Saccharomyces cerevisiae S288C: one gene and its partners. The gene in region 1 interacts genetically with each later gene. Each region holds a gene or a part of one and is shown in the gene's direction. Other genes may lie near its edges.

The links.
Region 2: mutations in JNM1 (region 1) and KIP3 together harm fitness more than expected from each alone (negative genetic interaction), as found in Saccharomyces cerevisiae (6 studies listed by BioGRID, with this or other methods).
Region 3: mutations in JNM1 (region 1) and GIM3 together harm fitness more than expected from each alone (negative genetic interaction), as found in Saccharomyces cerevisiae (7 studies listed by BioGRID, with this or other methods).
Region 4: mutations in JNM1 (region 1) and TUB3 together harm fitness more than expected from each alone (negative genetic interaction), as found in Saccharomyces cerevisiae (5 studies listed by BioGRID, with this or other methods).

Annotation. Positions count from the first base shown.
Region 1 is NC_001145.3:855,452-858,688, forward strand, and holds JNM1 (Jnm1p), read left to right. Parts: upstream 1-1,514; coding exon 1,515-2,636; downstream 2,637-3,237. Other genes in the region: glutamyl-tRNA(Gln) amidotransferase subunit HER2, read right to left, coding at 1-1,342; GSR1 (Gsr1p), read right to left, coding at 2,846-3,237. UniProt on the Saccharomyces cerevisiae protein: Component of the dynactin complex which assists cytoplasmic dynein by increasing its processivity and by regulation of its cargo binding.
Region 2 is NC_001139.9:83,333-89,562, forward strand, and holds KIP3 (tubulin-dependent ATPase KIP3), read left to right. Parts: upstream 1-1,552; coding exon 1,553-3,970; downstream 3,971-6,230. Other genes in the region: ERMES complex subunit MDM34, read right to left, coding at 1-925; CLG1 (Clg1p), read left to right, coding at 4,649-6,007.
Region 3 is NC_001146.8:345,169-352,369, reverse strand, and holds GIM3 (tubulin-binding prefolding complex subunit GIM3), read left to right. Parts: upstream 1-6,311; coding exon 6,312-6,701; downstream 6,702-7,201. Other genes in the region: YNL146W (uncharacterized protein), read right to left, coding at 353-655; YNL146C-A (uncharacterized protein), read left to right, coding at 790-984; Sm-like protein LSM7, read right to left, coding at 987-1,316, 1,413-1,430; ALF1 (Alf1p), read left to right, coding at 1,699-2,463; PGA2 (Pga2p), read left to right, coding at 2,614-3,003; RPC31 (DNA-directed RNA polymerase III subunit C31), read left to right, coding at 3,849-4,604; INN1 (Inn1p), read right to left, coding at 4,828-6,057; serine/threonine protein kinase YCK2, read left to right, coding at 7,094-7,201. UniProt on the Saccharomyces cerevisiae protein: Binds specifically to cytosolic chaperonin (c-CPN) and transfers target proteins to it. Binds to nascent polypeptide chain and promotes folding in an environment in which there are many competing pathways for nonnative proteins.
Region 4 is NC_001145.3:21,548-26,639, reverse strand, and holds TUB3 (alpha-tubulin TUB3), read left to right. Parts: upstream 1-2,956; coding exon 2,957-2,981; exon of another isoform or gene 2,982-3,076; intron 3,077-3,279; coding exon 3,280-4,592; downstream 4,593-5,092. Other genes in the region: YML122C (uncharacterized protein), read left to right, coding at 222-602; phosphate transporter PHO84, read left to right, coding at 840-2,603; PGA3 (cytochrome-b5 reductase), read left to right, coding at 4,941-5,092. UniProt on the Saccharomyces cerevisiae protein: Tubulin is the major constituent of microtubules, a cylinder consisting of laterally associated linear protofilaments composed of alpha- and beta-tubulin heterodimers.

The DNA of each region.
Region 1 (3,237 bases):
CTACTACCTGTAAGCCAATCGGGGTCTTCTCTTTTAAAGGCATTGATAAACTTGGTAGTCCAGCCAATGACATTGGGACAGTAAAGACATCGTTTATATACGAGTTAGCCGGAGATTTGGCTTCCTCTTCTTCGAAGTCCCTTATGGATCCAGGAAGCTTGGACGATGTGGGAACTATCAGTAGATCTAGGCCGTCTGGATTTCCCTTAGAATTAGTTAAAACATTTGGAAATCTGAAGATCCCGTCAAATTCATCGATCAAATTAACTCGTAGCTTTTCTGCCTTAATAAAATTGTTCTTAAATGCATCTGAACAAAGATTATAATTACCTAGAATGATTCTATTCTTAACTTCTGTTCCGAATTTGGACCTAGTAGGTGCGAATAAAATACCGTCTTTTATATCGAGTTCTGAATCTCTGTATCCATATCTGATACCATCATACCTTGATAAATTGGAAGCCGCTTCAGCGGGTGATAGCGTATAATAAATCGGTAAACAGTTTTTTACAGATGGAATGGATACAGGGTATATTTCAAGCCCTAAATTTATCAGCTTTTCTAGTAAGGATAAATATAATCTGTGGAACCCAATGGGCATACTTTCATGGCTAAATTCCTTTACAATTCCTACCTTTAAAGGTCTCCTAACCTTTTTATTCCCTTCTATCAATTCACGCAATTCCACACTTAAGGAAGTGGGATCTTTCATGTCATATTTATCGAGCGTATGAAATACTTTTCGCAAGACGTTTATCTTTTTGCTAAGTATGCCAACAGTGTCTAAAGATTGAGAATACGCTATTACGCCAAATCTTGACAACCGTCCATAGGACGGCTTGAATCCTAAAACAGATCCATAGCATGCGGGGAGCCTAACGGAGCCACCAGTATCTGTTCCCAAGGCAAAATCGACTAGATCGCAAGCAACGCTTGCAGCGGCTCCAGACGATGAACCTCCCATGATCTTCTTGTCCTCATGAGGATATAAAGGGTTAATTACGGGCCCTCTTATTGAATGTACTCCCCCAGAACCCATTCCAAATTCATCTAAATTTGTCTTGCCTAAGATATGCACTCCTGCCTGTTTTAATAGTTTCACTACTGTTGCATCGAAGGGAGACTTGAAATTCTCAAGTATATGTGAGGCACATGTGGTTGGAAAATCTTTTGTAACTATATTATCCTTGATACTGGCAACGCAACCTGTCAATGTTTCTTTTGTACCTTTTTTATTTGTGATTGAATAAGGAGATGGATTGATACTAGTGAAAATATTATATTTTGATTGAAAACTAGATAATCTTTCGATTGATTCTTTTAAGGAGCGTTTCAGTGGCATTTTTGTATAATCAAAGTTAGGACTCCAATTGAGGGGCCATCTTTCCAGCACAAATAATAGTGTTTACAAGTATAGATGTACTATTACTTTTTTGGGAGCCAATGCATTTCAAAAAAAAAAAGAAGAGCAGATAAGTCATGAGGCTAAGAAAGATAAAGAAATCTACTGGTTGATGAACGTCATAGATTTAAGTGATCCTGCCATCAATGTGGATTATGATAGCTTGATTGGCATTGACAATGAGGAATCTCAAGAAATTTTTGAAAATGAAGTGAAGGAAGATGGACAACAAGAAGAGCAGGAAGAAGCATCTTCAAGAAAAGATGGGCTCATCGTTGAACCAGGGAGAGATGTTGAGAGTTTGAGAAGGGCTATTCGAGATCAGTTGCTTTTCAAGATACATAGACAAAACCAATCAGACTGTGCAGATGCGAGAAAGTTGAGTAACGATGAAGAAGATGAAAGTCGGCAACAGAAATTAGAAAGAATAAGAGAAGAATTGGAGGAGTTGAAAATAGAAAATTTAACATCTGAAATGCAAACTGAAATCAAGGAATTGTGCGAAATTCAATCAAAATTGGCGACGGAATCATCTAGTAGATTGACAAATTTGAGGAAGAAGCTTCTCGAAACATATGAAGGCCAAGATACCGTCATATTGCCAAACATAATTCTTGATACGAGTAATATCAAAAGATTGCAAAAGTTAGATCAGAAAATATCCCTAATGGAACGTTTTGTTGGCATACCAGAAGCTTTGGAGGCAGAAGAAGATAGGAAATCGGTTCATAGTAAAGTCAATGAACTATATAGAAGTATTCAACTTTTACAAGGCGATGATAAGGCGGAAGGAAAGCTGCAAAAGTTCCGGGATAGACTCGTAGAACTGAACGAGGAATTTGAAAACTCATTGTTAGGCAAGAAAATACAACAGGACTTGAGGTTGAAAGATGACACCGTGAGCAAGCTTGTTATGCCCGAAAACAAAGTAAAGGAGATAAATAGTATGTATTCCATGTTCAAGCAATATCAAGATTCACTACCACTGTTGGCGGAGAGGATGAAAAGTCTCAATAAAATGAACAACAGGGTGATCGAGGTGTACGAAACCACGAAAGGGCTGGATTCACAAATAACCAGCATCCAAGAACAAGGAAAAGTTTGGCTAAAGGCTTTAAATGAGCTGGATAAAAAATTCGATGAACAAGAGGTTAAAATTCGCGAAAATATGGAGCAGATCAGGCGTAAAATTGATACCCTCGAAGACGAAGCTCTACAGAGAAATAGCAAATAAAAGGCGGAGAAATAATTTTATAAACCAATTTAATTTCATTCTTCATTTTTTCGTCTCCATATGACAAAAAAATTGAAAATATGTGTGTGTATGTATATATAATAATAGTAATAATAACAATATGAAATATGAAATATCCAAAATAAGAGCGGAAAACAGAAATTATCATAAAAAAGAAAAAAATAAAGTCTCTAAAGGGTATCAAGCGCTTATTTCTTCTTCATTCTACCAAACAATCCCTTCTTCTTCTTCTTTTGCTTTTCCTCAGTCTGTACGTGTTGTTGTGGCTGATACACTGCTTGTTCACCATACATTTGACTGGAAGCACCACCCACTTGCTGTGGCATACCGTTCGCATCGTAAGTCACAGCAGCACCAAACACAGGGAAATCAGGTCTTACGCGGAACCCGTAAGTTGGAGTCTCCAACTGTTGGGCCCAGACCGGGTCTCCGGAGACAGCATACTCGAAACTTCTTATAGTGTCCAAAGGTCTTTCGTCTCTTGCCCTAGTTGGATTCGATATATCTGCCTGTGTGATGGGTTGACCGAAAACATCACACAGAACATGACCTTCTTCGTTGGAAAAATAAGATTGTCTGT
Region 2 (6,230 bases), on another chromosome or scaffold:
AACAGTAGAATGGCTTTACCAATTGTTTTGATGATACGGTTGATGACTTTGGTTGTGGAAATGATTGCGAAGAGTAGTAATTGTTTAAAGAGGGCATCCTTGATATAAATCTGTACAAGTTTTGTCTTTCCAAGCAACCAGGTATAGCGGAAAGAGAATTCATCACAGTGGAATGTAGTGACAGTGTTGACCTCGACGACACAATGCTTGAAAGACGTAGCATGTTTATTGGAGAAAGCTCTTGAAAATCTGATCCGTCCAAGATTACATTCCTAGACATTGTAGTTTGTTGATGATGATGCTCTCTTTTACCAGGGATGGTACTGGTGCTCTCGCCGCGATTGGTGAACCAGTTCTGTGACGTGTTGAAGATCAAAGAAGGAAGAACATCCTTGAACACTACATGCATGGACTCTTTTAGCCTTCTCTCAATGGTGCTTTGGAGAATTTTTACAGAACAATCAAACTTAAAATCCAAATCAACGTCATTAAAGGATATCCCAATTCCAGGGTTCTTTACAAAAATATTCGTGATGGCTTCTAGCTCGATGGAACTGAACGTCATAGTTATAGGAATTGTGAACGATCCATTATTGATGAGCTGGGGCATGGTAAAGCTGGGTGTATCCTGTTCGTTAATCAATAAAAGATTCGACTCTATGACTGTCTGTATCCGCAACATAGCATCCTTACATGAAATCTTGCAAATCCCCTTGGCCAGAGACTTGGGCTGCGTGATAATGTCTAGGTCCAGAATTTCTAGCTGTGGTATTGTAGGAAAATCCACCTTCTGTACCTTAATTCCGCTTTTCAAGATATCTAATTTCTTTTTAGACGGTGAGTTCAAAGCCGTAGATAACTTTTCCCGTATTCGTTCATTGAAAGAGTTATCACCAAACACAGCTTCGTTGAATCTAAATGACATGACGATGCTGAAGTTTCTTGCAGTTGTGTTTTTTTTGTTATAATTGTTACTGTTTCTATGTTTTACGAATCTTCCATGACTCTTCTAATTGGTCTCTTTTTACTACAAGGCTTCATGGCCCTTTTTCAAACCTAATTTATAAGTTCTTTGCCCTATGCTTAAAACAGTTTAGCCCTATTTAATATAGTACAAAAAAGGAAAAACCTAATTGAAAAAAGCTATTCACCCTAGGTCATTACTACTTTTTCCCTTAGCTAGCCGTGTTTTTAGTTTTTGTTTTGTTTATTTTACCTGTATTATGCCTTGTTTGATGACTTTAGTATGGGTTTGGTTTGTCTTATCCTTGGATACAAAAGGACCAGATACATTCACGTCTGGTCGGTAGAACATCGGTATCCAGTATAGTGTTCAGCTGTTCCTATAGAGACAAAATTTATAATCTGCGTGTAACAAATATCTGCAGGTTAAAAAAGTCCAGATCAGTGTTTCGAAGCTGTTGATTTTTCTTTTTTTTTTTTTATATTAAAATTTTCATATTCCCTGATTGCATCGTTTATCTGATTATCATTTCATTGCATTCTTTAACTACTTGAGTTTTCTTTCCAGCTGTATACTATTGACACTAACATGAACGTGCCTGAAACAAGACAATCCTCCATAGTCGTAGCTATAAGAGTAAGGCCCTTTACGTCAATGGAAAAAACAAGATTGGTCAATGAAGCTAGTGGTGCAGAAGCTAACTTTCCCGGTTTGGGGGATTCGTCGTTAATATTACCCATGAGTAATAACTCCGACTCCGATATAGACATAGACGCTGAAGAAGGTTCTACGCGGAGCAAAAGAAATAGCTTGCTGAGGAGAAAAGTAATTAGACCGGAGGGTATACGTAAAATTGTGGATTGTGTGGATGATAGAATGCTCATATTCGACCCAGCTGATAGAAACCCATTGAACAAAGTGAGTGATCAGGTCCTGAACTCGATGCGTGCAAGGGCCACTAAGGCCACTGCGTCCTCTATCAATAACAGCAATGCTACGAACAAATTTTCTTCGCAACGTCGAAGGCACGGTGGCGAAATCAAGTTTGTATTTGATAAATTGTTTGATGAAACCTCTTCCCAAGCCCGTGTATACAAAGAGACCACCAGCCCGCTCCTAGATTCTGTTTTAGATGGATTCAACAGTACCGTATTTGCTTACGGTGCTACTGGTTGTGGCAAGACATATACTGTGAGTGGCACACCTTCACAGCCGGGGATCATATTTCTAGCCATGGAGGAACTATTCAATAAAATTACAGACCTGAAGGACGAAAAAGACTTCGAGATTTCACTGTCTTACTTGGAAATATACAATGAAAGAATCAGAGACCTTTTGAAACCAGAGACACCATCTAAAAGATTGGTCATTAGAGAAGATACGCAGAACCACATCAAAGTGGCGAATTTGTCGTATCACCACCCAAATACGGTAGAAGATGTGATGGACTTAGTTGTCCAGGGAAACATAAACAGGACTACGTCACCGACGGAAGCAAACGAAGTATCTTCACGATCTCATGCAGTGCTGCAAATACACATCATGCAGACAAATAAGCTTGTAGACTTGACCTCGCAACATACATTTGCTACACTTTCAATAATCGATCTAGCTGGGAGCGAAAGAGCCGCCGCAACAAGAAACCGTGGTATAAGATTACACGAAGGTGCGAATATAAATAGATCCCTACTAGCACTGGGCAATTGCATTAACGCGTTGTGCTTGAATGATGGCAGCAGAAGCTGTCATATTCCATACAGGGATTCCAAGTTAACTAGGCTGTTGAAATTTTCACTGGGTGGCAATTGCAAAACAGTCATGATTGTTTGCATATCGCCCAGCAGTTCACATTATGATGAGACATTGAATACTTTGAAATATGCAAATCGTGCTAAAGAAATAAAGACCAAAATAATCAGAAATCAGCAGTCTTTGAGTAGACACGTTGGATCTTATTTGAAAATGATTACGGAACAAAAGCGACAAATCGAAGAGTTACGCGAACGTGAAGAGAAGATGATTTCTTTGAAGCTAACGAAATACAAACTAAACAAAGAAAAGATCCAGTTAGCCATTAACGAGTGCGTCAATCGTGTTCAGCAAACGTATGCAGGAGTGGAAACGTATCAAGTAGCCAAGACCTTGAAATCATTAATACTTTGTAAAAGGCGGTTTTTGCAAATGGTCAAGCTAGAAGTGGATAATTTGATACTATTATTTGAACGGGAGGAAAGTACAGCCGCCGAGATGCAGCCGGTGATTAGTAATTGCCGAATGATCAGTGGTCAGCTTTATAACAAAATACACGAGTTAGAAATGAAATTTGATGAAACCGACACTCTGAGTTCCGTCATTCATCAGGTACATTCCATTGACTTGAACAAGTTAAGAGAGATGGAGGACTGGGATGAAACTTACGACCTGGTGTACTTGGAGTCGTGTTTAAATCAAATATCAGAATTACAAAGAAACGAAATCTTGGTTAATTCCTCCATAATGACAGAAAAATTAATGTCAGATCCGGGTTTGAACTCCCGATTTAAATTTCTATCAAAGTGGCTGATGAATAGGACACCTAACATTGAATCCATAATTCAAGACCTGGTTCATATCGACGAGGAGTTTGAATCTTTTGCCAGAACTTTTATCGCCAATCCCGATAGCAATTTTACAAACACAAATATAAATATAATAAACACGACGGCAGCTGACTTGGCTGTTCCCGCTGAGACCCTACAACGGCAAAATTTTTCCCAAAAAAAAGTAAAGTGGACGAGTCCCGACCTTAGTCCCAGCCCTATGATTGAACCACAACCGGAGCTAGAACCAGAACTACACCAAGATCAAGACGCCATTGCAAGTGAAGTGGACGTAAGTATGCAAGATACCACATTCAATGAGCAGGGGCCCTCGACCCCCTCCGCTCCGACTACAGCGGTTCCAAGAAGGAAGATGCGCTCCTCCCTTCTTACTCATCAAAGTCTACTGGCCACTGCCAGGAAATAACATACATATCCTACGTAAACTATCGAATATAACTTCTTTCCGCCAGCATTAAACGCATTTATGTTGATTAATTCCGGGTTACGGGAAAAATTTTTCTTTAATTTCTTTTTTTTGAATTTATTTGGCACGAGAAAAGGTTCAAAGTGAATAATTGCTTTTAGTCATTAGACACATTACCTACTTTCTAAGAGATTCTAAAAGAAACTAAGCACCACAAATCATTGATCTTTTAAGAAAAACGCACAAGGATCATATACTAGATTCTCGTTCTCGTTTTTTCTTCCTTTTTTTTTTCTCTAAAGCCTTTTACTGGGTTAATTTCCTTTATTGACCCAAATTAAAAGAAAACGTTTCTCAGGAGACTCTTTTAAGCAAAATTTAGCAAATTTGTGTTTGCTGTTGTTTTTACAGAGACTGCATTACTTGAAGGTTTGCCTTTAAGTCTTCGAGTCGTTTTTTTTTATTAACTTTAATCCTTTTTCTGTGTGTTTGTGTATATTCAGTGGGGTTATTTTACAGTATTCGAAGAGACTTCGTTTCACACATTTAAACCAGCTTTATTAGCGTTTAGCTTATACACTACAAGGAATTTTTTTTTTCTTTAACATTATTAAGACAGTTATTGAGTTAATTCGTCTTCAGCCCCCCTCCCCCCAACAAACCCCCCTTCATATAGAAATGGCTAATACTTTCAAGTATTATCCTGAAACGATGGGTAATTCTAGTGGTTATCCAATTAGTTTGCCTTTTCCGAAAGGTTCGGCTACTTCTGCTGTTAATGTTGCTAGGCAACTGCCTAAATATTTAGGTCATGTTCCCTCGCAATCAGTTCATACTCAGTTGCCATCCATGGCTTCTTTAGGTTACTTCAATCAGCCAAGTTCTACTTACTATGCTCCTCCTGCACCACTTCAACAGCACCAGCAACCACCTATCCTTCCCCCTCCGGGCCTAATGTACACTAGTAACAATAACAGCAACGTTATTCCTCCTCCTGTTCAAATGATTCGGGATGGACAACAACAACCACAACAATCTAACCAAGTAAATGGGGGCGTCAGTGAGAACTTGGACTACGATATTTCTATAATGTCAAAATTTATCATGGAAAATGCCTTTGTTGCCTTCAACGCGAACTATAGTACTGATGACCAGACCACTGATCTTTTTTTCAAGGGCATATCTTCTGTGTTGAATGCCACGAGATTGCCTTCAGCTACTATTTTTTTGGCTATAGATTATCTTTTCAAGTATATCAATAAATTATCTAATGGGATACATTCAATTGGTGGCAATTCGATCAATATCATTTATCAAAATACTATGATTGCGTTCATATTAGCAAACAAGTTCAACGATGACAAAACTTTCACCAATAACTCATGGTCACAGGCAACAGGAATACTGATAAATGTTATCAATGATTTCGAGAGACAATGGTTGAGAATATTTAACTGGGAATTGTATGATAGTGCTTTTCTTTATTTTGAGTTCGTCAAGAATTTTGAGATTTTCAAGCAAAATCAACTCAAACCTGCTGTAGCGGTTCCTACGTTATTATCTCCAATTGTCAACGTTGGTGATACGAGAAACGTAAATTTCAACTTGAAGCCTACTTCCACAAACAACCTATTATCTCCAGTTTCCAATTATGAAACCCCCATGCTGATGCCGCATAACATGTTTTCATCACCATCTTATCAGAGTAACTCAAGGTCTGAATTTTCTAGTATGAATGGTTATTATAACTATTACAACTATAATCAGCCAAGATTGAATTACTATCAACAATTCCCCAATATATATTCTTCACCAATTTCGGAAACTCAGTTTGATTACGACTTCTACAATTTCAGTAGTCAACAACAACAGCAACAACAAAAACAACACTCACTTTTACCTGCCGCTCCACAATTACCTCCCCCTCACGTCCATAATCAGTCTTACGGTCATCATCTTGGCTGGAAGTCAATGGATGACACAATAAATCATTCAAGATTTGAGCGAAACTACTTTCCGTATTCGGCAGTGTATTAGTGAAAACTTTTTTTTCCTTATTTTTTCTTTGATCCCATCGAATTACTTTCTCTTTTGCCCAGGATCATCTTTCTAATCTATCATTTTATTATTTTCTCTCATGAGAAAACAGAATTTCGAAACAGATATAATAAAAAAATTGAAAAATTTGAAAAAAAAAAATCTAGAAACATATTTTCCTAAAATGAAAATCGGAAGCTAACAAAATTTTTGAAAAACGAAA
Region 3 (7,201 bases), on another chromosome or scaffold:
GTCTCTAGTGATGTCAATGAACGGATGAACGACAGAAGAAGTGGATGGAAATAAAATGGTTATTTATCAGATATTTATATACAAAATTACGTGGTAATGCAACAGCTTTTTCCTCTCGCTTTGTTCTTTTTCCTCTGACATGCATGTTTCATTTTCGTTCCTTATGGCATCCATGTCATGTAAATTTCCCGAATAGGTAAATACATGCTTTTTTAACTTAAAAAATTATGGGCGTCCTATGCATGCACTTAACGGAAAAGGAAACTATCAATTAATTATGTAGTAGATGGTGTACCTATTATTGCATTAGTATTTGTTTCAAATGAAAACATGCTGCTTTAACTTTTCTAATTTATACCATAAACGGTATAGTAATGATGAAACTGAAAAATAAAAAAATAAACAGTCTGGTCTTATCGACCATGTTAACATCATCAAAATCCACCAAGTTTTCCGAGAAAATAGATGAGGGCCTGTTATTATTACTAACTGAGTTTGAATTCTTTTTGTAAAATCGTGGCAGTAGTTCTTGAAATGTCATTTTGAAGGACACTGAGTTTCGAAATATCAACATTATGAGTATGAATAAAAGTGTAAGGATAATGATCCTTTTGAGTTCCATGTGATGAGAAGTGGTATGCTTAGTATTGCTCATACTGGACAAATACGAAAGGAATCAGTAAATAATTAAGATTGTAGAGGGAGGGGTGTATGTGTATGCGGATACTTTTTTGATTTGGCAGAAGGAAAATTGGTATTGGCAGCTGTACAGTGACTCCCCTTATACAAATGATCTCAGTTTGTTTCGTTTTTCCTCATTCTCTGGCTTTAGACTTCAAATCGCGGTGTAAAAAAAATAGGACAAAACTATGTAGCGCATACTATGTCAGTCAGGTATTGAGAATATGTAAAGAAATGCCATACCGTGATTTGATTTTGTTTTCAACTGTAAGGAAGGGAGTTTATATGAGATTATATTATTAAACCTATTTTTGCATATATAGTACATCAGAACCTTCGGCGGAACTTAAAGAGACCAAAATAGTACCTCTTATGACGGTCAAACCTAGCTTTCTTGCGTTTTTAGAAATCAGTTCAGTGTTGTTTTCATCATCAGGATTAGACATATATTCTACTGTATCATCAAGTACCAAGTTCATCAGTTGATCATAGCCTTTTAGGACACCTATAACTAATTTACCACCCATTAATTTGACGCGAATTTTAGAATCTTTATACTTCGCTAAATCCAGAATAGCTTCTCTTTTAGGGCCTTCGAATTTTTTCCTTTGCTGTTGTGGTTTGTTCTCTGATTTCTTAGTTCAAAAAGGAAACATAGTTATTATAATGTTAGTATAAATAAGTCAAAAGGAAGGTTATTGCCACGGAAGAAAATAAGAAGTGAAACATACGGAGTGTTGCTGATGCATGTTTTTTTGGTTAATGTTCTGTGTAGTAAACAAAGTGCTGCTCTCAAATAACTTTCTTTTTTACTGTAGTAGTATACACGTACATGCGTATTCTTAATTGTCGTTTCCCAGTTGTCTGTTTTCAGCTACAGCTTTTTTCGCCTTTGTTCGAAAGAACAGTACTTTTTTCCGGCTCGCAGGGAAACGGCAGTTGAAGAAGACAAGCGACAAGAACATAGAGCAACGAATTCAAATAAAGAGATAGAAAAAAAAATTACATGGCAAAACTATGGTTAGAGTTGTCATAGAGAGTGAATTGGTCCGTACAGAAAAGGAATTACCAAATTCGCTTAAATTAAGGCAGTTCAAGGACCGATTGTACCATGTTACCGGAGTGGAACCAGAGGATATGGAAATAGTTGTGAAAAGACAGTACGACAACAAGGAGATATATAGTACTAAAAAGGGGGGTGCCTATTCAAATGAGGATGAAGATGCCAACTTCCTAAAAGGAGAGGAGGAGCTTATTGTGGTTGTTACAGACTCTAATGCCCAATCAATCTCTAACCAGCTGGCCACGCAAGCGGAAGGAATCCCCTCAATGGAAGTAATTAGCGAGGAGGATTATTTGCGAAGGGATCAATCCGTATTACGATGGAAGATGGCTCACGGCTATGGTAGGTTTAATGCTGCACAGCAGAGCCAGCGCGCTGCGCTGGCAAAGCAGGACGAAGCATATGCCCGAGAGCAATTAACGGCGGCTATCGGCCGCCACTGTCGTGTCACAGTAGACGGGAGCGCTCCACGTGAGGCCATTTTACGGTACGTAGGACCACTACCGTTGGACGTGATGGGCACATGGTGCGGTGTGGAATTCCCGGAAGCCGCAGGCAAAAACGATGGGCGCATAAATGGGGTAACACTGTTTGGGCCTGTGGCGCCGGGTCACGGATCGTTTGTGCGTCCGCGGGCTGTGGAAATTCTATCAAAAGACGAAGAATCCGCCGAGGTGGAAGACGTCCATGATGACGTGGAGAGCGATGATGAAATTTGAATTTGTGCAGAATTAGCGCGGTGGCGGTTTAGTTAGTGATCTCCATCCGATGTCAACATATTATTATTTGTAGTTGTATTTATGTGCACTCGGCGGTTTGTATGAGGAAAAGATGTTATGAAGAGAAAAACTGCCGAGTAATTGAAAGAGATGTCTGAAGTAGCGGAAACATGGGTGGATACCTGGATGGCAAAACTAGTCAACTATGACTACAAGCACTTTATAAGATTGGTGATAATTGTAGGTGGTTATTTACTCTTAAGAAATATCGCATCCAGGGAATTGGCGAAGAAGCAGTTGGCTGCCCAAGTGGAAAAGGACAAACGAGACAAAGAGGAAAAGAGATCAAAAGACCTGATCGACAAGCCAGATGATGCTGCAACAGCAGAAACAACTTCTTTCGGTTGGGGTAAGAAAACTAGAAGAAGAGTTAAAAGACAACAGGAGTTGTTTGAAAACGCTTTGGAAGAGGCTAAGAGAAGAAACCAAGGGTTGGACCCAGATAGTGATGCTGATATTGAGGAACTACTGGAAGAATAGGCTCTCTGTGTATGTATGGGTTCCTCTTTGTCATTGTGACATTGTTTTGTTTTTAGTTTTTCTATAGTTTTCTGATAAAATAGTCTAACCATTACCGATGTTGCTACTTGCATCATTCTCAACGTCTAATCAACTTGCGTTTGCGTCTCAAATTGAGTTTGTAGGTTACGTGTCGCCTTAATAGTCAGCAAATGCCGACGTTTGTGAGACGGATAACGACTGCGATGATTCCCATTCCGCATGAATGATGCAATTCACAATTCAAACACGATATCAAACGACTAAGCCGTGAATTAACGGCTAGAATGCAAAAGAAAATGGGTAAGAATTGATTTATGTAGATACGGCAAGACGATACTTTCCTTAAACAGCCGAGAAACGAAAAGGTTTAAAGAGATGTACTGTGACGTAGAAGAGAAAGGATTACGCAGCAATGGCTTGTCCAAATTTCGTAGTCTAGCCAATTGAAAATATAAATTATTTTCAATACTAATGGGCGGCTTTCGAACAAATGTCACATTGCAGAGGTGATCGTTCAAAGTAATTAGCAGTCATGAACGAGATCTTCTTTTCTCTTATGAAGAAAAAGGCTGATGGTCGACAAGAAAAATCTCAATACAATGGCTACCATTCCACAAAGAAGTGCCTCGCTAGGTGTAACTCAATGAACTGAAATTGCTTTCGTCAGTGGTTTCAACTCTTGTGCGGCCGCATGAAAAATGAAGAGAAATTTGAAAAAATCTCAAAGAAGAAAATAGTTTCCTCATCGCAGCAACCTATAGAAAACAACACGACAGAAAGATATTGTAACTTGATAGTACCGAGCATATATACCCCGAACAAACATGAGTTCTTATAGGGGCGGCAGTAGAGGTGGCGGGAGCAACTATATGAGCAATCTACCCTTCGGATTAGGTTATGGAGATGTAGGCAAAAATCATATTACGGAATTTCCATCCATCCCATTGCCCATCAATGGTCCTATAACAAATAAGGAAAGATCTTTAGCAGTAAAGTACATCAATTTTGGAAAGACTGTTAAAGATGGCCCATTTTATACCGGATCAATGAGCTTGATAATAGATCAACAGGAAAACAGCAAGAGCGGTAAACGCAAACCCAACATAATCCTAGACGAAGACGATACTAATGATGGCATTGAAAGATATTCCGATAAATATTTGAAAAAAAGGAAAATAGGTATTTCTATTGATGATCATCCGTATAATTTGAACCTCTTTCCCAATGAATTGTACAATGTAATGGGGATCAACAAGAAAAAATTATTGGCAATCTCCAAGTTTAATAATGCCGATGATGTTTTTACTGGTACAGGTTTACAAGATGAAAACATCGGACTATCCATGCTGGCAAAGTTAAAGGAGTTGGCAGAAGATGTGGATGATGCGTCGACGGGTGATGGGGCAGCAAAAGGAAGTAAAACAGGCGAAGGAGAAGATGATGATTTGGCGGATGATGATTTCGAAGAAGATGAAGACGAAGAAGATGATGATGATTATAATGCTGAAAAGTATTTCAACAATGGTGACGATGATGATTACGGTGATGAAGAGGATCCAAATGAAGAGGCCGCCTTTTAGTTGAAAATTTATACCGCTTTACCATATTTTTGGATATTCTTCAAAGCAGAATTTGTACAATTAGCATTTTTCTTTATGGTTTAGATCGGCGGTGAGGGCGCAACAGATTTATGTATACATATTGAAATAATAAAATTTAAAAAAGAAAAAATCTTGGTAAACATTAAAAATCTTAATTCTATTTAAATATTAGTATTACAATAACAGCATGTTTCTCTTGTCATTAGCTGAGCCTTGGAGGTGGTCTTTTTCTTGTAGGAGACATCGAATTCTTCCTCGAATTAAAATTGGAATTCGAAGTAGTCGGTAGAGGTGGTAGTTTTGGAGAATTCAGGCCTGATGGATGAGGATGTGAGTTAGGCGAAGAGGAATCTAGGCGTGAGGGTCTATCTCTTCTTACTAACGGCGTATTGCGCGAACTTGAATAATTGGACATATCATCTCTGGTCGGTATAGGAGGTAAGGGCGGTTGGTTATAGTTGTGGGAGACTCTATGGCTGGAAGAATAAAATGCGTCATTTTCGTCGTCATCGTCATCATCTTCGTCGTAAGACAACGAAGTTACACCAATAGCCTTTTGAAGTGCCTCAATATCTACCTTGTTAGATTCATTTTGGCAGTTGTTTGTTGAACTATCAGGATTCTTAAATATATTTATCTTCTCCTTTAATTTCCTTAAATTGGCAAAATGGAATTTTGTATTCGAAGTGTTTGATATAGCAGTATCATTAGTTTCTAATGTAGACGTTGTACCCATGGATGCTGAAAAAGTTGGAGGTAAAATTATTGGGTCATTACTATTTGCCAATACCGCTGTATCTGATTTAGATGACATGGAGAAAACATTGCCATTTCTGTAGGGCTGTCCCTCATCCTTATCCTCGTGACTTGTGCTAACACACTGGGGAGTAATCTGTCTCATCGTAGAACCATGAACATAGTCATACTCTGATTCTGTTGGCAATGGTGGTATCGGCCTCATAGCCATAGATGAATCCAACCTGTCCATTTCTTTGTTAAGATCGTCCCTGTTTAAACGAGGTACTTTGGGAGTGAAAGTCAACTCAATGAATATAGTGCCAGCAAATTCATCCCCACTTCTTTTCAGTTCGTACCAGGTACAATAACCCTCCTTCGGGTCTGCTCTAATAGCATTTAAAAGGTCTATTTCACATCTTCCAATTGGCAGCGGAGATTTTTTCCTTCTATCGCAGTAAACTTCGACGTACATTAAAGGCTTTATCTCTGGAGTAATATCAAATTTTTCTAAATAATGGAAAACAGGGTTTTGACCTGCTCGATGTAGAGTGTTGCTGGCTCTTGTCATATGAGCTATTCGCAACCTAAGCATTACATTTTGCTTGTCCAGTTTATTCAAATTAGGCAAGTCTCTAGCTTTGCTCACATATACGGAGAGGATTCCTTGGTTTCCATTCCATACTTCTTCGGACATTCGACAGTGACTCAACGAGTTAACCCAATTCCAGTTGTGAAACCTAAGGTCTCCGAATTCTCTCGTACTATTAACATACCTTTCTATGTTTTTATCTAAATCATATGAGGAACGCTAGGCCGTCATTCATGATCAGCAGAGGCGGCTTTTCATACAATTTTACAGGAAGCTAAGTACTTAGAGGACTTATGCTCTGTTTGGTCCTGCGGAAACTACCAGAATACACAACGCCAAGAAACTAACAGAGGACCATTATGGAACTGTTACCACAGGGACAAAGGAACAACACTCAGGTAACGTTCGAAGATCAGCAAAAGATCAACGAGTTTTCGAAGTTGATTATGCGTAAGGACGCCATTGCGCAGGAATTGAGTTTACAGAGGGAGGAGAAGGAGTACCTCGATGATGTGTCTCTAGAAATTGAATTGATTGACGAAGATGAGCCCGTGCAATACAAGGTGGGCGACCTCTTTATCTTCATGAAACAGAGCAAAGTTACCGCACAGCTCGAAAAAGACGCAGAACGTCTCGACAACAAAATAGAGACTTTAGAGGACAAGCAAAGAGACATTGATTCCCGTCTTGATGCTCTGAAGGCGATCCTGTATGCTAAATTTGGTGATAATATCAACCTTGAACGTTAGAACACTCATTAAAGTGTGGGCTGTGGGTGTCTCCACAAAATGAGTAATGAAAAATTTTTAATTTTTTCAGGAGGGAAATTAAAGAAAAGTAAAGAACATGATAATAAAAAGCAAGTTTAAGTTATTGTGTATGAGATAGAGTTTTTTTTGTATACCTTTGTAATCCGCATATATTCCTAAGTACCTTTTTTTTCAGACAGAAAAAAAGAGTTTCTTTACGGAAATTACTTCTTTCGTTTGATATTGTTTTTCTCTTTCGAGATTTAAGAACGTGGTTGTGTTTCGTGTTTCTGTGCAGATCATATTAGAAAGTTTTTTTCTCCATTTTGATAGACAAAACTTGTTGTTTCTACTGAACACAGCATATAAGCCAAGAAAATAGTTTTCCAAAAATGTCTCAAGTGCAAAGTCCTTTGACAGCAACGAACTCTGGTTTAGCTGTCAATAATAACACAATGAACTCACAAATGCCTAACCGTAGCAATGTTAGATTGGTCAAT
Region 4 (5,092 bases), 830 kb from region 1:
TCGGTATACTCTGCCTAATAAACCTTAATTTTCTTACAAAAAAAAAAAGATTCAATAAAAAAAGAAATGAGATCAAAAAAAAAAAAAATTAAAAAAAAAAAGAAACTAATTTATCAGCCGCTCGTTTATCAACCGTTATTACCAAATTATGAATAAAAAAACCATATTATTATGAAAAGACACAACCGGAAGGGGAGATCACAGACCTTGACCAAGAAAACATGCCAAGAAATGACAGCAATCAGTATTACGCACGTTGGTGCTGTTATAGGCGCCCTATACGTGCAGCATTTGCTCGTAAGGGCCCTTTCAACTCATCTAGCGGCTATGAAGAAAATGTTGCCCGGCTGAAAAACACCCGTTCCTCTCACTGCCGCACCGCCCGATGCCAATTTAATAGTTCCACGTGGACGTGTTATTTCCAGCACGTGGGGCGGAAATTAGCGACGGCAATTGATTATGGTTCGCCGCAGTCCATCGAAATCAGTGAGATCGGTGCAGTTATGCACCAAATGTCGTGTGAAAGGCTTTCCTTATCCCTCTTCTCCCGTTTTGCCTGCTTATTAGCTAGATTAAAAACGTGCGTATTACTCATTAATTAACCGACCTCATCTATGAGCTAATTATTATTCCTTTTTGGCAGCATGATGCAACCACATTGCACACCGGTAATGCCAACTTAGATCCACTTACTATTGTGGCTCGTATACGTATATATATAAGCTCATCCTCATCTCTTGTATAAAGTAAAGTTCTAAGTTCACTTCTAAATTTTATCTTTCCTCATCTCGTAGATCACCAGGGCACACAACAAACAAAACTCCACGAATACAATCCAAATGAGTTCCGTCAATAAAGATACTATTCATGTTGCTGAAAGAAGTCTTCATAAAGAACACCTTACCGAAGGTGGTAACATGGCCTTCCACAACCATTTGAATGATTTTGCTCATATTGAAGATCCTCTGGAAAGAAGAAGATTGGCTTTGGAGTCCATCGATGACGAAGGTTTCGGTTGGCAACAAGTTAAGACCATCTCCATTGCTGGTGTTGGTTTCTTGACAGATTCTTATGATATTTTTGCCATTAATTTGGGTATCACTATGATGTCCTACGTTTACTGGCACGGTAGTATGCCAGGTCCAAGTCAAACCTTGTTGAAGGTTTCCACTTCTGTTGGTACTGTTATTGGTCAATTTGGTTTTGGTACTTTAGCTGATATTGTTGGTCGTAAGAGAATTTATGGTATGGAACTTATTATCATGATTGTCTGTACCATTCTGCAAACCACTGTTGCTCATTCTCCTGCTATTAACTTCGTTGCTGTTTTAACATTCTACCGTATTGTCATGGGTATTGGTATCGGTGGTGACTACCCACTATCTTCTATTATTACTTCTGAATTTGCCACTACCAAATGGAGAGGTGCCATCATGGGTGCTGTCTTTGCTAACCAAGCTTGGGGTCAAATCTCCGGTGGTATCATCGCTCTTATCTTGGTTGCTGCTTACAAGGGCGAACTAGAATACGCAAACTCTGGTGCTGAATGTGATGCTAGATGTCAAAAGGCTTGTGACCAAATGTGGAGAATCCTTATTGGGTTGGGTACCGTTCTAGGGTTGGCATGTTTGTATTTCAGATTAACTATTCCAGAATCTCCTAGATATCAATTGGATGTTAACGCTAAGTTGGAACTTGCTGCTGCCGCACAAGAACAAGATGGCGAAAAGAAAATTCACGACACCAGTGATGAAGACATGGCAATTAACGGTTTGGAAAGAGCTTCTACTGCCGTCGAATCTCTTGACAATCATCCTCCAAAGGCTTCGTTCAAAGATTTCTGCAGACATTTTGGTCAATGGAAGTACGGTAAGATTTTGCTAGGTACTGCTGGTTCATGGTTTACCTTAGATGTTGCTTTCTACGGGTTGAGTTTAAACAGTGCTGTTATTCTGCAAACCATCGGTTATGCCGGTTCCAAAAACGTTTACAAGAAACTGTATGATACTGCTGTCGGTAATCTGATTTTGATTTGTGCTGGTTCATTACCTGGTTACTGGGTATCCGTCTTCACTGTCGATATAATCGGTAGAAAACCAATTCAATTAGCCGGTTTCATCATCTTGACCGCTTTGTTCTGTGTCATCGGTTTCGCATACCATAAACTTGGTGACCATGGTCTGTTGGCTCTTTACGTCATTTGTCAATTCTTCCAAAACTTCGGTCCAAACACAACCACCTTTATTGTTCCTGGTGAGTGTTTCCCAACTCGTTACAGATCTACTGCTCATGGTATTTCTGCTGCATCTGGTAAGGTCGGTGCCATTATTGCACAAACCGCTTTGGGTACTCTAATCGACCATAACTGTGCTAGAGACGGTAAGCCAACCAACTGTTGGTTACCTCACGTCATGGAAATTTTCGCCTTATTCATGTTGTTGGGTATCTTCACAACCTTGTTGATCCCAGAAACTAAGAGAAAGACTCTAGAAGAAATTAACGAGCTATACCACGATGAAATCGATCCTGCTACGCTAAACTTCAGAAACAAGAATAATGACATTGAATCTTCCAGCCCATCTCAACTTCAACATGAAGCATAAAAGCCTCAAAGATGCACTAAAACTTGTAAACTAGAACAAATAATACAAAAACATTTTTATAAACTTATTATCAAACCCCTTACATAATCTATAAATACTGTCAGGTTACATATTTATTCGATAATTTCTTTTAATTTCATTATTTCCTCACATCTCTCTGCCATCCTGTTGGCTGGTGCCAGAGCAGAGCATATCGTCCTTTCTTTTTTAGTTCCAGACGTTACCCGACATATCATTTCTCGAGCCTCTGGAAACCACGAAACGTTTTACAAATTGCACATCTAAAAGAAATATAAACACAGATCAGGTATCTCATAAAGTACATTAATCGACTAAGCAAGCGACTTGAGACAATGAGAGAGGTCATTAGTATTAATGGTATGTATGCGTTCCTTTTTTTGTTCAATATTCGCAACCAATGGCACCTGTGGGACAGGGAAAGAAGTTTGATCTGATCTGGTTTGATTCATTCCCAATTGGTCACCATCTGGTTGATTTACGGCAAATAATTTGACTTGTACCAGCACAGTTTACTAACAGTTTCTTTTTCTCCATTTTTTCTGGGCATACTCGGACGAAAAAGCTCATAATTGACCTCATTACATGGGGAGTGATTTTTGTGTCTTCTTCTTCGGAGGATTGCTGGAACTTTTGTTATTTTTCTTTTTTACAACAGTTGGTCAAGCAGGTTGTCAAATAGGTAATGCATGCTGGGAATTGTACTCCCTAGAGCATGGCATCAAGGAAGACGGCCATTTGGAGGATGGCTTGTCAAAACCTAAGGGAGGTGAAGAAGGATTTTCTACATTCTTCCATGAAACGGGGTACGGAAAATTCGTCCCAAGAGCAATCTACGTGGATTTAGAGCCCAATGTTATCGATGAAGTACGTACAGGACGTTTCAAGGAGCTTTTCCATCCAGAACAATTGATTAACGGTAAGGAAGATGCCGCCAATAACTACGCAAGAGGCCATTATACAGTGGGTAGAGAAATAGTGGATGAAGTTGAAGAAAGAATTAGAAAGATGGCCGACCAATGTGACGGTTTACAAGGGTTCTTGTTCACCCACTCCCTCGGTGGTGGAACTGGTTCCGGTTTAGGTTCCCTGTTATTAGAAAACTTATCGTATGAATACGGGAAGAAATCCAAATTGGAATTCGCCGTTTATCCTGCGCCTCAATTGTCTACTTCCGTCGTGGAACCTTACAACACGGTTTTAACCACGCATACCACCCTGGAACACGCAGACTGTACGTTTATGGTCGATAACGAAGCCATTTACGATATATGCAAGAGGAACTTGGGAATTTCTAGACCAAGCTTCAGCAACTTGAACGGGTTGATTGCCCAAGTGATATCATCTGTTACAGCCTCTTTGAGGTTCGATGGTTCATTAAACGTGGATTTGAACGAATTTCAGACCAACTTGGTACCATATCCAAGAATTCATTTCCCTTTGGTTTCCTACGCACCCATCTTGTCCAAGAAGAGGGCCACCCATGAATCCAACTCCGTGTCAGAAATCACAAACGCTTGTTTCGAACCGGGCAATCAAATGGTTAAGTGTGACCCAACAAAGGGGAAGTACATGGCTAACTGTTTGTTATACAGAGGTGACGTGGTGACCAGAGATGTCCAAAGAGCCGTCGAACAGGTGAAGAATAAAAAAACAGTACAAATGGTGGATTGGTGTCCAACAGGATTTAAGATTGGTATTTGTTATGAGCCACCAAGTGTGATACCAAGTTCCGAATTAGCCAATGTGGATAGAGCTGTCTGCATGCTATCCAACACCACTGCCATCGCGGACGCTTGGAAGAGAATCGATCAGAAATTCGACCTGATGTATGCCAAACGTGCTTTCGTCCATTGGTATGTCGGTGAAGGTATGGAAGAAGGTGAGTTCACCGAAGCTAGAGAAGATTTAGCTGCCTTAGAAAGAGATTATATTGAAGTGGGTGCCGATTCTTACGCTGAGGAGTTCTAAGAAAGTGGCTCTGATCCCGATACCCACTTATAGATTTATATTTACTTAATGTCCATATGTATATACATATATATATATATATATATATACGCTTATATATATATATGCATATTCTATCCAAATAAAGATACCTCTAATTATCGAATTATTTTTCACTTACCTTTAGGTGTACAGTTAGAACAATAGCTTATTAAATTTATTTTTTTCCCTATGTTCCGCGGAATATTGAAAAATTTGAAAATATTCTAAGACAAAAATACCCATAAAAAACAAAGAGTTTTGAGCTCATCTCGTTGCCACCCAAACTTATCACAAAAAAGGAAGCACTCCAAGAACCGCGTGAAGAAAATGTCAAAAGAAGACATAGAAGGAACTAACATTCTAGACGAACCTGTCCACGGGATCTATATTCCTGCCGCGCTATTCGTTGTTGGTGTTGCAATCACCACGTATATGTCTGGTGAATTGAAAATCCTGTGGAGTTTACCCATTCTCTTCAT